Notamacropus eugenii: one gene and its partner. The protein of the gene in region 2 interacts with the protein of the main gene of each other region in a pairwise test. Links are inferred from orthologs where the notes say so. Each region holds a gene or a part of one and is shown on either strand. Other genes may lie near its edges.

Region 1 (7,189 bases), about 300 Mb from region 2:
GAGTCATAGAATCATAGATTTAGAGCTGCATGAGATCTTAAAGGTTATTAAATCTAAATGCCTCTTTTTACAGGTGAAGAAACTGAGGCAAAGAGTTTAAGAAGAGTCTTTCTAATTCTAATTCAAGTGCTCAATCACACCAGAATGTCTTTATGTAGTTCAAATTACAGGGTATCTTTGTGAGTCTGGAGGACTATTTAGGTCCCTGAGGGAGAAAGATGGGGCCACATTAGAGAGGAGGGACTGTTTATGGGCTACTGTGAATCCTTGCACACCTCCCCTCCCCCCCAAAAATCTCTCTGCTATGCATTATTATTTTGGGTACTTATGAGATCTAGACATCAGCTATCTTCTGAAATTCCCAGAAAGACGTTCTGGGAACCATAGAGGAGACTGCCCCTAAGATTGAATTCAGTCCCTTGTGGACCCAAAACCTGGATTCTCATGGGGGTTACAGAACATTGAAAATCAGAGCTGGGAGAACATCAGACGATCAGATTGGAAAGGGACCTTAGAGAATGTCTTCTAGTCTGAGCTCCTCAAGATCACCACATCCAGCCACAACTGGAATCCAGATTTCCTGATTAGAATAGAACAGGAGAGTCATATTTTTGGCAACGATTGAATGAATTCATTTATATTTGAAGTTAGGTGCTCATTGGTGGGTGCTTCTGGGGAACACGAGAACAAAAAAAAAAGGCTGAAAAAAAAGACGTTGCAAAGCTTTACGTACTGTACATGTTGCTTAAATAAAATGGTGTCTAAACCTCATTTCCTCAGTTCTCCCTCCTCCCTGACCTCTCCAAAGGTGTTGGAAGTGCCTTCTAATCAAGTTTTCCCTCCCTCGTCTCCTTATTGAATTGCCAGGGAGAGAGAAGAGACTTCCTTTTGTTCTCTGTCCTTGTGGTCTCTAGGGCAACAGATTAGTGCTAAGGAGACACAAAGACACCTACGTGGATACGACACACAGACTCAGCTACACACACAGATGCACAGGAAGAAAACGGATACAGGCATAGACCAAAAGGAAGCTACACAACAGATATACAACGATACACACACATGGCCAAGCACAGGTACCTACACCGACAAATAGGAACAACACAGTCTCAGGAAAAAAAAAGAGATCTGCACACACGGTTAGAAACAAAGGGTGATGGTTCCCAGGGTCTGTATGAAACCCATGGAAACGCCACTTTATTTTGGAACTAGAAGGGCTTCTGCAGTCGTGACTCAGTGCTTAGAATTCAGTTTTAATGACTGACGCCAGCCAGCTGTCTTCACCGCATGGAGAAATCTTGAGGGACAAAAGATTTGCGACGGATAAATAAATGATACAATCCTCTGGCTACGGCCCTTGGGAGGCATTTGACACAGAATCTCAACCCTCCTCCTTTCTCTTGGCTGTCACGTTGGCAAAAGTGAGCAGTGCGCCTTTTTACATTTCCTGGGGTGCTGTTTTCCCTACTATTCAGGCAAGCAACCGCTATGTCCCCTTTAGTGATGCAAACGCCCTCTAACCCAGCCAGCGCTGAAGCTGGGCCTGGGAGCATCCAGCTTTCCAAGGCCGCCAGGAAAGTGAGCACGTGGTGACGGCGGTGGTGGTGGGGGTGCCCGGAGCAGTGCGGAGCTAGGTCCCGGCATGTGAGTGCGCGACACACGCTGCCTCCAGGTTGGGCTCAGTAGGTGCAAGCCCTGACAGTTCGGTCCCCTGGCACAGCCAGGCACCTGGCTCCGCTCCGCAGGGTCACCTGGACCAGTAGATTTTAAAAACAGACAGGGAGGGAGTGGGATGACCCGGGGACTGGGAGGAGGAACCCCCCAGCCTTGCCCAGCCCAGGAAATGAGTTTTGCTAGAAGCACGCACTGGGAGTGAGAAAGGGGAAGGAGGTAGGGTGGGGGGAACAGGATTTATTCAACAAACATTTTTAAATTAATGCCTCGAACAATCTTAATTTTGTTGATATCTATCTTTTAACATCTTTATTTCCGAATATCGAAATATATTCATGTCCTTTTCCACCTAGTGAGCCTTCCCTTTATCACAAAGATTTTAAAATCACTTCAAACAAAACCAAGCAACGCAACCACTATTTGGCTCTGTGTGTGTTTGTGCGTGTGTGTGCTTGTGTTGGTTGGTTTTGCACATATACAGTCAATAGTAGTTGCGTTGGTTGGTTTTGCTTGAAGTGCTTTTAAAATCTTTTGTCAGGCTCACAGGACACATACATACATACATACATATTTTATGCGATAACCCACACCCGCAGTCTTCCCTCGTTTCAAGGAAGGGTGGGATAGATGCATTCATTAAAAAACAAAACATTAAGTACTTCGGTGCACAGTGCTAGGCACTGGAGGGAGATACAAGATTTGTATTGGTCACAGTCCTTCCCTTTATGGAACTTAACAGAATGTCGTAAGGGGGATGACAAGAGATAACTATAATACCTAGCTGTCACATACATTAAAAAGATGCAACACAGAGTGCTATAGGAAGGATGTGGAGACAAGGTTTGAGGGTAGAGGGAGGAATCCAAACAGGAAGGTGGCATTAGGTTACTTTTAAAGAATGGATAAAAATTCAAAGATAACTGAAAGAGGGATGATGTACTTGGCAGAGGGAATTGCCCACCGCAGAGATGCGAGACTTGGAGATCCAGTGGGTTGAAGCAGACTAGTATTCACTTTTATTAAACGGCTACAGAACATAGGGGTAGGTAGGGTGGTGGCTGGAATGCTTCTTTCTTCTTCCTACGCAATTAATACGGTATGGGAGAAAGCTGGGAAATCAGCTAGTTCATCCGTCTCAGTAAACAATGAACGTGCCTTGGCCAAGATCGCACAGGTAGGAGATTCGAACTCGGGTCCTCTAATTCTCGGTCCACTGCTTTCACTGCACCCTGCTGCTTCCCCACAATGGGAAAAGGGGAGCACGAGGGGACCCTTCTGGCCAGCTCCTAGGGGCACCCTTCCGTGACCACTCCAGGCCTGGGGAGATTTGGGCTTGGGAGTCAGAAAACTTGGGTTCGAAGGCTGACTGCCTCACAGACGCCCTGGGACCCTCCCTTTCCTTCAATGGGCGTCTCCCTACCCTTCTCTGACTTGCACTATGAGTCTCCGAGGCCTCGCCTTGCATGTGGGGCAGTCTGTGGACCAGTGGCCGATCTCCCCACCTCCCCGCTCCGGGGACTAAGGGCTGGCCCCCGGGCCCCAATCCCTAGTAACAGCCAAGATCAGTCCGGTTCAGCAGAGATGGGGGTCCTGCTCCGCAAAGGAGTCTGCGCGCTGGAGCGGAGACTGACACGATGACATCATCGGGTAGGGCTGGGCGGGGAGGGGAGCTGTCGCGGGGCATTCTGGGGCAGGAGGGAGGAGAAGGGAGCGAGGGGAGGGGTGTTGACGCCATTTTCGGCGGCTGACGGGGGAGCCGGGGACGCGGGTTTCGGAGGTCGGGGACGGGTCGGGCTGCTCGCCGCTCGGGACCCGTTTGGCCGAGGCCAGGAGGACCGGGGGCGAGGGGGCCCCGGACGAGGATGTGTCGGGGCGGCGGCGGCCGGACCTGCCTCCCTCGCTAGTGACTGACAGACGGACAGCCCGACAGCCCTCCCCGAGCCCCCGAGGGGCTTGACGGCGGCTCCCGAGGTCGGGCACCGGCTGCCCCGCCGGCCGGCCCTTTGTTCCTAGGCCTCCCGTCCTTGGCCTCCGTGCGAGCGGATCTGGGCGGCGGCCCCAGCCCCCTCCCTCCTTGTCAGCCCGCGGGCAGCGCGGCCACCGCAGGAGCAGGACGGTGAGTGGCGGCGGGCGGGGGGCTGCGGGCGCGGAGCCCGGGGCTCGTCTGCCCTTCTCCTCCTCCTCCCCCTCCTCCGCGCCGGGGCTGTGCTCTCTACAGAAGTTTAGAGGGTGACCGAGCCTCGTCCTCCTCGGGGGCCGCGAGGTCTAGGTGGAGTCTCGCTTATCTCCCCATCTCCATCCCTGCCCGGGCCCTCGGCGCCGGGAGCGCCGCCTTCCCCGGGGAGCCTGCGGGATGGATGGGGTGGGGCGGGGGGCTCGTTGGGTGACCAGTGCTCGGGCTCCCTTCGGTAGCGCCCAGGTCGCAGGAGCCGGGGGGGGAAGGCCGAACGGCGGCCACCCCGGAATCCCCTAGAAAAGGAGGGGCGCGGGTAGCGGGGATGGGGCCGCCCTGGGAGCGGAGAGAGGAGGGATGCCCGGCTGCCAGCCCTGGTTCTGCTTTGTCCGAGTTCTGGCCTCTTCCTTCCGGGTTCCTCCTCGCTGCGGTTCCGGTCCCCCCTCCCCTTCACCCGCAAGACACCGCCCAGGGAGGAGACCCTGGACCAAGGCCCTGGATGAGACATTTTTATCAGCATTCCTGGAAGAGGAAGGTCAGCTTCCTCTCCTTGGAGAGGAGAAACGGGGGCTTTAATTTCGTTTTCTTCTTCTCTTCACCGATAAAGCGCGCTCAGACCGGATTTCTTCTGTTTTGTGTACCCCGGTATGTTTCCCATCAGATTGGCAACCTCTCTAAAACTGAACTTCATCTCAAACTTAGAGTACTTTTTTCAATTATAAAATCTGTTGAATTCTTGTAATAAAACCCACCATATTAGCAGCAGTACTATTAATATGTTGTAGATTCGATTGTAATAGTGTGTCAAAATGTCTACTTTTTTTCTAGTATTGTATATTAAAGCATCCTTTACTGTCTTATAAGATTGAGTTAAAAAAGAATAGTAAGTATTTTCTGAGGATATCTTGCAAAAATACATTTTGGAATGTTAGTCATGAACAATTTTATAGTATTTTAGACTATCTCTATAAATAGACCGTGTTTAATTACTTCATTCCTTGTTCTAGTTAATTGTGAATTACACTTCTTGATCTTCTTTATATAAGTGTAGGAATTACTCATTTCCTTTTAATGGGCATTTCACTGGATGCCGACGAAATGCCATTAAGAAAAATGAAATGGCCTTGTTATGTTTGGTAACCATAATGTTTACAGATTCAGTATTTTGAGGGATAAGAATCCTTTAATATGGTGGGAAATTTGCCTCATCGTGAAATTTATTAAGTATCTTAAAGAGCAAAGTGATTAAATGTTAATGTATTGCAGGCTGCAGTATTCTACTCTGTAGGATAGGTAATATAAAAACCAGTTTCTCAAAGTCACTAAAGAATGCAACATCATTTCTGCATCATGTTGCAGTTGAAGTTTGGCAGTCTTGCTGTGTTACTTAGTAGTATGGAGAGAACTTGATATTGAACCTCACAGTGATCATAGGATCATCTTAGGTTCATCACAATTCCCTTTGGAGATTTTCTTTACAAGAAAATTCTTTTCATTAAAGAAATGTAGAGACAAGTTTTGAACCAGTTGTAGGAATAGTTCTAACCTTTAAGCTTTACTTTTAGGAGTTAGATGATATATCTGTCTTGTGTAAATTAGTATTTTGTGAAGCAAATAATAACTTTATACTGGCTATTTTGAAAAATATTAATATACATTTAAGTGCAGTCTCCTGAGAATATTTACTATGAGGCATTAGCAAGAGAGATCTCCATTGAACCTATAACATTTTAAAAAGGATGTTGATTGGCAGTTTTGAAGTGTCCAGTGTGAATGAAAATAATTTGATCTTTTTAAAATGTTTAAAATGAACGACACAGTTGAGTATCTTGGCAATATTGCCCCTAAATGGACAGATTCTAACAAATGCCATCTGACATTCCTACTCAAAAACTTTTGGATTAGTATAGTAGTTCTATTGGCTCTGTAGCTATCATTGTATCCTTGGATTATCAAAGGGAATAATAAAATTAAAAGGTGAATTTCCGCTGGTTGGCTTTTAGTTTCAGCACAAATTTAGAGACAAATGAATATATAGAAAGTTTAGATTATAAAGCCCAGTTTAGTGTGCTTTAAAATGTTGTCTAGAACAGCATTTTCAAAGTGTGGTCTCCCTGAGGTCAAGATTATTTTCATAATATTAAGATATTTCAATTTTTAATACAGTATATATTGATAAATGTAACCCACATAAACAAAAGCTCTTTGGGGAGGTCTCCGATACTTGGGAAGAGTGTAAAGAGATCCTGAGACCATAAAGTCTGAGAACAGCTGGTCTAGAGAATTACAATAGTCATCACAAGTAGAGTCATACAGTACTTATATAAGAGAAAAAAACTCCATATCATAGGTTCAGTTAATAATTTCTTTTCAGTAGATTTTTATTATGTATTCATCTACAAGTGCTGGGGAAACAAATTAAAAAAAAAAACTTACTGGGGAGAAGACTCAGCATGAATACTGCTAAGTATAATACAGCATGGACCAAAGACATGAAACAATTTTTTTTTACTTGAACTATTCCAACAATTGGTTTTAATTAGCTCCCTGTTTTCTACTTCATAAAGTCTAAACTACTCAGAATGGCTTTCAGGGTCATTTATAGTCTGGTTTTATGTTCCCGATCACATACTCAGGACTTTTGTTAGGCTTATCTCATCATTCTACCACAATGCCATGTTTTTAGGATCCTCCTACCCTCTGTACCTTCACTTATAATTTCCCCTTTTTCAGAAAGCCTATCTCTCCTATAGAGTTACCCAATTTTTTCCTCTCAGATCAAAGCCCAACCTCTCCAGTGTCAGCCTTCACTGATCTCTCCTTTTTCTGCCAGCACTAATAGCCTATATTAAAATTTAGCATTTGATAATGGTTCTCTTGAAACTGTTTGCTATTGTTATATATAGTTTTGTTTTCTTCCAGCTAGATTGTAATTTCTTTTAGGACATGAGCTATGTTTTATATTTCTTTTATAATTTTCATCTAGCCTCAAATACTTATTAATTGATTCTCTGACTTTATAGTGGTTTTGTTTACTGCTTACATTTTAAAATTTTAACTTTCATCCTCTTCAAGTCCAGCAATAATTTTAGAGAAATTTGTACATTTTAAGAAGTAGAAAAGCAATTAAAATGAAGATATTTACAGTGGCTGAAATGGAAGGATTTTTCCCTCACATTTTTTGGTTTATGTATCAGAAAATGAATTTTATGTTTAAAAAAAGAAGAGAATTTGTCATAAACCTATTTTGGCTTGGTATTTTCATTTTCAGCATGTTATTTTCTTCTCAAGGTAAAAATTATTCATAACACCTTTTTAAGTCTAGATAGGAGGTGACAACTC
Region 2 (7,502 bases):
ATGTGCCAGGCACTTTGCTCAGTGCTGAAAAAAGAATGAAACAAATCCCATGGCATTAACATTAATTGGGGAAAAAATATGTACATATAAAACATAAAAAGAATAAATAGAGTCTTGTTAGGGCAAGAGGGCACCAGTGGGAGGGTCAGGAAAGGTTGCTGCTAGGTGGTGTTTCAGTTACTTGAATAAGAGGGGTTCTGAGTCAGGTGAGAAAGGAATGCACTTCAGGTATGGGGGACAGGTAATGCAAGACAGAGAAGTTGGAGTACCATATGTGAGAAATAGAATGCCAGTTTGGTTGGACTCTAAAATGCAGGAAGGGAAGTAATGCGGATAGACTGGAGGTGATTGTGAAGGGCTTTAAAAACCAAAGAAAAATATCGTTTTTGCCAAAGGCAACCGATACTAGAGTTTGAGTAAGATGGCTGATGTGGTACAGGCAGTGTTTAAGTGCTTACTGTGGCCCTGCACCGTGCTAAGGCAAAAAGAAAAAAAAACAGTCCCAGCTCAAAAAGAACTCATAATCTAAGGGAAAGAGACAACATACAAACAACTGTACAAATAAGATGTGTGTGTATATACATGTACTTACACATGTACACTTACATATATATGAAGTAAATTGGAGATAAACAGGAGGTGCTAATAATTTTAAAGGAGAATAGGAAAATCTTCCTGTAGAAGATGAGATTTTAACTGGCACTTGGAAAAAGTCAAGAAGGGCAAATGATAAAGAGGAGGGAGAATGTTCCAGGCATGGAAACAAGAAATGTCTGGCGTCAGGAGGTCTTGTTTAAGGAATGCTATGGAGCCCAGTATCACTGGATCACAAAGTATTATAGGGGGCAGGGGGAATGAGGCATAATAATATTGGAATTGTAGGAAGAGGCCATATTATAGAGGAATCTTTGCCAGAATTTTATGTTTGATCCTAGAGTTGATTGTAATCACTGGAGTTTATTGAATAGGGGGTGACACGGGCAGACCTAGGCTTTAGGAAGATCAGTTGAGAGCCAAATGGAGATTAAACTGGAGTGGAGAAATTTGAGGCAGGAAGACCAAGGTGGAGGCTATTGCTATCACTTCCATAGATGAGGTGATGAGTGCCTGTACTGGGAATGGTGGCAGTGACAGAAGAGAGAATGGTGTGTATAAGATACTGACAACATAATCAAGATGATTTGATTGCATGTGAGGAGTAAGAAAATGGGGTTGAGGTTGACACCTCAATCCTGGGTGACTGGGAGTTTTGTGGATCATGGAGGAATGGGTTTAGATAAATTAGCAACATCTCCTTAGGAGTTAACTTTAGGATGGAGACTTCAAGACATTATGCAGCATGTGTAGCTAGAAAGAGGGCATGGGGGTGGGTGGGAAAAAGTACCCAGGCCCAGACAGATAACTGTTGAAAGAAGATGGATAAAAGGGAAATTTCCTTTTTTTCAAGTAAGCCCCAGGTAGTGGACTGGTGGTAGCAGCATGGCAGAATAGGCCACAGGCCCAATCAGAGAGCAGCAATAGTCCCCAAGCAGGTGACAATAATCCACCTCTCTATGAAGAATCATGTAATTTGGACTCCACATTAGTCATTGCATTGCTACCAAATTGTTTTCACGTTATCTTCATGGTTGCTGGATGGTTATTGTGTATATTTTCCTGGTTTTGCTTTCTCCACTCAGTATCAGTCTATGCAAGTCTTCACATGTATCTCTAAATTCCTATGAATCATTTCTTATGATTCAGTAGTACGCTGTTATATTCCTGTGACACACTGATTGTTTGGCCATTCTCCATTTGATAGGCCTCTACTGGTTTCCAGGTTTTTTGCTACTACAAAAAGTTACTGCTATGAATATTCTCATGGGCTTTTGTTTTTGCTGCTGACCTCCTTGGGTTATATCCCCAGTGTTATGATCTGTGTATGAATCAAAGGACATGAATAGTTTAGTAACTTGAGTAATTACAAAAGAGTTTTAGGGGCCATCTCCAGTCATCCTGATCTTTATCAGGCCACTGGACCCAGATGACTGGAGGAAAAAGTGAGGCTGGTGACTTTGCACAGCCTTCCCTTACTTAAATCCAATTTACTTGCAAGTCATGGCATCATTTTCCTGATGTCATGTTCCTTTTCAGGAATGAAGGACAAACCACAACCACAACAAAGAGTTTTCAAGAAGAGTAATTTACAGTTCTACCATCTGTACATTATTGTGCCTGGTTTCTCACTGCCTTTACAAAGCTGATATTTGTCTTTGCAAACTTGATGAGTATGAGGTGAAGCCTCAGCCTTTTTATTTGCATTTCTTTTATTAGACTTGGAATATTTTTTCCTTAAGTGGTTAGTTTGTAATTATTTTGAAAACTTATTTTGTACGTTGTGTTCTCCTAGCCTCATTTGATTATAAAATCTCACGCTAATTATAGATTTGAAAGGTGCCTCCTGCCAGTCTCTCATTTTCTCTTGGTGACCTCATCAGCTTCCATAGGTTTAATTATGACCTCAATTCAGATGACTCCTAAATCTACACATCCAACCCTAGTTTCCTGAACTCCAATCTTGCATTGCTAACTGCCTATCAAATCTATATTTCTTTTAATTTACTTTGTGTAGTCCAGGGGTGGCGAACCTGTGGCCTTAGGGCCACAAAATAAAAGGGTTTTTTCTATAAAATTTGGATTCGATCAAAAGACTACACTTAAGGATTTTGAAGGTCGCATGTGGCCTTAAGGCTGTAGGTTCCCCACCCCTGTTGTAGTCATTGAATATGTTTTCTTGACTGCTTACATCACTTTGCATCAAATCTTGTAAATCTTTTCCATGGTTTTCTGTATTCATTACATTCATCATTTCTTACAAGCACAGTATAATATTCTGTTCCATTCATATATCACATTTTGTTTAGCCAATCTCCAGTCAGTGGAAATCTGTTTTGTTTCTCATTCTTTGCTAACACAAAAAGGGCTGCTGATAATATTTTGGTGTGTAGGGGGATGTTCTTATCCTATAACCTCACTGGGTATACAAGCCTAGTAGAGGAGTCTCTTGGTCAAAGTCTATGGACATTTTAATCACTTTATTTGCATAATTTATCTTCTTTTGCCTTGGTAACCAGTTGTTACCAAGTCCTATGATTTCTCATTCAACCTTTCTCAAATTCATTCTCACTTCTACCAGTCTAGTATAGGTCCCCATTTTAGCAGACCTTAGCCTCTTTAATCCCTCCTTACCCTGGCAGGTCATCCTGATGAGTATCAGGCCACTGGACCTAGATGGCTCAGGAGAAGAAAGTGAGGTTGGTGACCTTGCACAGCCCTCCCTCACTCAAAGCAAAGTCAGCTGCAAGTCATGCCCTCATCTTGATGTCATGGTCCTCATCTTGATGTCATGGTCCTCATCTTGATGTCATGGTCCTCATCAAGAAGGAAGGACAAACACAACATTTTAACTAGATGCCCTATAGGTATTTCAAACTCAATTTACCCAAGCCAGAATTTATGTTCTAGAAAAATCTACACTTGTAGCCTTCCTGGATGGATGCCTTCATCTTGGTTTGAAACTTTGGAGTCATCCTGCACTCTTTCTTCTTCAGCCCATTGATCTAAGAGTTTCCAGCTCTTAGGAATTTTATGATTAAATCTCCAAAATCTCTCTTAAATCTGCCCTATCTCTTGACTCACATGACCACTCTCCCAGTTCAAGCATTTGTCACCTCTTACAGTGGCCTTAGCATTGGACCCTCCTTTGTCTGATTTCTTCCCTCCATTTTTTAAATCAATCTTCCAAACAGCTTTTCTAAGACATGAGTCTGACCAAGTCCTTGGCTGAATGACGTCACCGCTGGAGTCCAGTTAGAGGCTGGCTGATGGGACCATGAGAGCTTGGGTGGGCGCGAACATCTGGGGTGGATTCTCTGAACGTGACTCTCTGCCCCTTCTCTGGGCTAGGTCCGCTCCGCTTTGCCCGCAGAGCCCAGCCCCTTCCCCGATGTGGGCACGCCATGCGGGGCGGTCCGTGCCGTGTCTCCCGTGTCACACCATCCCGGACCTCCCCAGTAACCTCGAGGAGCTGCGGACTGCCTCCGGGATCAGATGCGCTCTCCATCATTCCCTCCTAGGCCACCCCGACTGTGTGCACCCCTCTGCACCTAACATGGCTGGACCGTAACCCCAAGTACCGCGGCCGCTCCTCATTCCGGCCAGCCCCGCCCCCTCCCTCTGCCCGTCATGGATTCTGTTCTCTGGGGAGTCTGATCCAGAGGCAGAGATTGGGGAGAACGTTTCTAAGGTGACCGGGAGAGAGTCGCACTTCGCCGGAAGTGCTCCGAAAAGACCTCAGGCCAAGCGGCTTCTTGAAGCAGCAGTGCGCATGCTCCCCTTCCTCTCCTTCACGACTTCGGCTCCCCCTAGCGAGGACGTGTCAGCGCACCCGCAGGCGGTTGCCTGGGAGACGTTCGTTTCCCCTTTCTCCAGAGGGGGAGCAGGGGCTTCCGGGAGGTGGGGCGGGACTTCCGGCCGGTGAATGACTGGCAGAGCAGAGCGGCTGCGGCGGCCTCGGGGAAGCGGGGGAGCTGGGCGCACCTAGCCGAGAAGCAGCGGAGCCAGGCCCGGCCGGGAAGGCAGCAGGCCGCGCTGGCGGCGGCAGCGGTAGCCACGATGATGGAGATCCAGATGGACGAGGGCGGCGGGGTGGTGGTGTACCAGGACGACTACTGCTCGGGCTCGGTGATGTCGGAGCGGGTGTCGGGCCTGGCGGGCTCCATCTACCGCGAGTTCGAGCGGCTCATCAGCTGCTACGACGAGGAGGTGGTGAAGGAGCTGATGCCGCTGGTGGTGAACGTGCTGGAGAACCTGGACTCGGTGCTCAGCGAGAACCAGGAGCACGAGGTGGAGCTCGAGCTGCTGCGCGAGGACAACGAGCAGCTGCTCACCCAGTACGAGCGGGAGAAGGCGCTGCGCAAGCAGGCCGAGGAGGTAGGCAGCGAGCCGCGGGCGAGCCCGGGGCCGAGCGGAGCGGGAGGGGCCTGCTCCCCCTCCTTCCCTCCACCCTATTTCATTTCCAGGAACTCGGCTCACCCCCGCCTCCTCCCCCCCGAGCCCCCAAACTCGGCCTCAGGGAGCTTCTGCAGCCTTTCCCTTCTCCCCTGCGGCCACACCCACGGAGGGAAAGGGAGAGGCATCCCTTCTTTGGGTGTCCCTGGCCGAAAGCTCCCTGTGAGAAGCCCGAGGTCACCCTGCTGTCCCCAGCACTTAGCCCAGCCCCACGAGGAATGCCCAAGGTCACACACGTCTTGGTGGCAGCTGCCGGTTGGGCCGCGATCCCTAAATAGAGCCCCCATCCTTGAAGGCCCGGCGTCTTTTCTCAGCCGTCAATCCTGACTTCACATCGGGTTTTGTTTGTTGAGACTGTGTTGCCCAAGCCTGATTACTTCCCTAGACCAGCCTCTACCCGCTGCAGTCAGCCTAAACAGACCCTCTTTGCAGTAGGAAGCCGTCGTTGGGAAGGGCTTTTTCCCTTGTGCCCTCCTGTCCAAGACTTTTATGGTTTTGGGCAGAAGAATCAGTTAAATTGCTTCTAACACGTAATGAGAGCCAAAAGCTCCAAAGCTTCTGTCTCATCTGTTAGGTAAAACTGCTCTTGGTTTCTGTGTGATTGAGGTTACTGCTGAGTTCATCATGCCTTGTTGGTAACTCTTTTGCCCTTTAAGTCACTACATTGGTCAGATTGGGTGCATTTATAGAAAATCCTGGAAAATTCCTGTGTGGTTTTGGAGGGGGCAGAAATAGGATTTTTCTGATCAGGAAATATTTTTGCTCTATAACCTGGAAAACTGCATGTGAACCAATTTAAACAGACATCTAGGCATTTGGAAGAAAGCGATGTATTATTAGAATGCCACTACTCTTGCCCTGCATAGATACATAGTGTATATATATATATACACATAACCCAGCTTGTATGTACATAAATACATAGGTGTTACAGACAAAAGTAAGGTTCTTTATCAAAATAGGAAGCTTCTAAACTCCTTTATGATAAATTTTGTTATCCATGTTCTTATTTGTCCACATGGTGATCCTGATTTAAAGCAGAAATAAGAGAAAGAACTTACAAATTTTTTAAACCATAGCTAGGATGTATTCTTAGTGAGATTCAAGGAATGTTTTGACACACTAAAACCATAAAACAACCCTCTGAATGAACTTAATGTTTACCATAGTGATAGTGATAGGTTTTTTCATCCTTCTGTCAAGCAAGTGTTCTTTAGTTGATGGTGATATCCACCATATTTCTCTAAAATTGATACTAATACTCAGACCTAATGACAATATCTGATAAAGCATCAAACTCATTCTTTACAGGTAGAATACTAAAGATTATACATACATCATAAAATGTTAGAACTGAAAGGGACCTCAGATCGTTTGATCCATTGCCTTCATTTTACAGAGGGGGAATGGAAGACCTGAAAAGTTTATATAACCCACCCAAGGTTGTCACTAGATAGTGGCTAAGCCAGAACTAGAACCATAGCCTTCTGACTCCAGATCCAGGCTGCTTCTCTTATATCACACTACCTCTAGTCAAAATAAGAGTTGTCTTTGAACACAACAAACTTCTGGTCCTGTGTTAGAGTAACTCACTGTTGTACCAAAATCTTATGTTTGTTTCTCTTACCTCCATGATTTTTAAATCTGGTACCCTCAGTATTTCACCCCCACCCCATCTTAGAGAAGAGAAGAAATTATTCCTTTAAGATAAAATTCAAGAAATTTCCTGACTTAAGAGGAGAATAAGTAATCTTACTATGCTATGTTATATAGCATACTATGCTCAGTACTTTATATTTTATCTCATTTGATCCTCACAATAATTCTGTGAAGTAAGAGCTAATATCTTCATTTTATAATTGAGAAAACTGAGGCAGATATAGGTTAAGTCATTTGCCCAGGGTCACACAGATCACAAGTATATGAGGCTGGATTTGAATTTAGGTCTTCCTGACTCCAGGCCCAGTGCTTAATTACCATGGACCTACCTCATGAATTAACATTTTATTGTCAAACTTTCCAATAAATAGACTGGGCAATCTTCCACAATATATGTAATTTTGGGGGGAGTAAGGGGTGGAGTCAAGAACTTAAAAACTCTTTTCTCTAAATCTTTAACTCTTTTACAACCTAAGGAGGGTTGGGACCCTAAAAGGTCAAGTGACTTGCCTGAGGTTGAAGAGCCACTTAATAGAACATCTTGGCTTGGAGTCAGAGAGATCTGAGTTCAAATGTAGCCTCAGACACACAGTTAAGTAAGTGTCATTTAGTCTCTTTCCTTCTCTATTTCTTCATTTGTAAAAAAAAAAAAAAAAGGAGGATAATAATAGCACCTAGTCCCCAAGGGTAGTTGTGGCCATATTTATAAAAAATTTTACAAACCTTAAAGTAATATATGGGGGGTGTGCGCGCATGCGCACATATGTGTATGTATGTGTGTGTGTGTGTATATA

The links.
Region 1: the proteins of MAPK8IP3 (region 2) and KLC1 interact in binary tests that used the Homo sapiens proteins (3 or more experiments, as listed by UniProt). The link is inferred for Notamacropus eugenii from reciprocal best matches to the Homo sapiens genes MAPK8IP3 and KLC1.

Annotation. Positions count from the first base shown.
Region 1 is NC_092872.1:349,271,643-349,278,831, reverse strand, and holds the start of KLC1 (kinesin light chain 1), read left to right. Parts: upstream 1-4,185; 5' UTR 4,186-4,346; coding exon 4,347-4,492; intron 4,493-7,189. UniProt on the Homo sapiens protein: Kinesin is a microtubule-associated force-producing protein that may play a role in organelle transport. The light chain may function in coupling of cargo to the heavy chain or in the modulation of its ATPase activity.
Region 2 is NC_092872.1:48,926,814-48,934,315, reverse strand, and holds the start of MAPK8IP3 (C-Jun-amino-terminal kinase-interacting protein 3), read left to right. Parts: upstream 1-4,502; 5' UTR 4,503-4,653; coding exon 4,654-4,971; intron 4,972-7,502.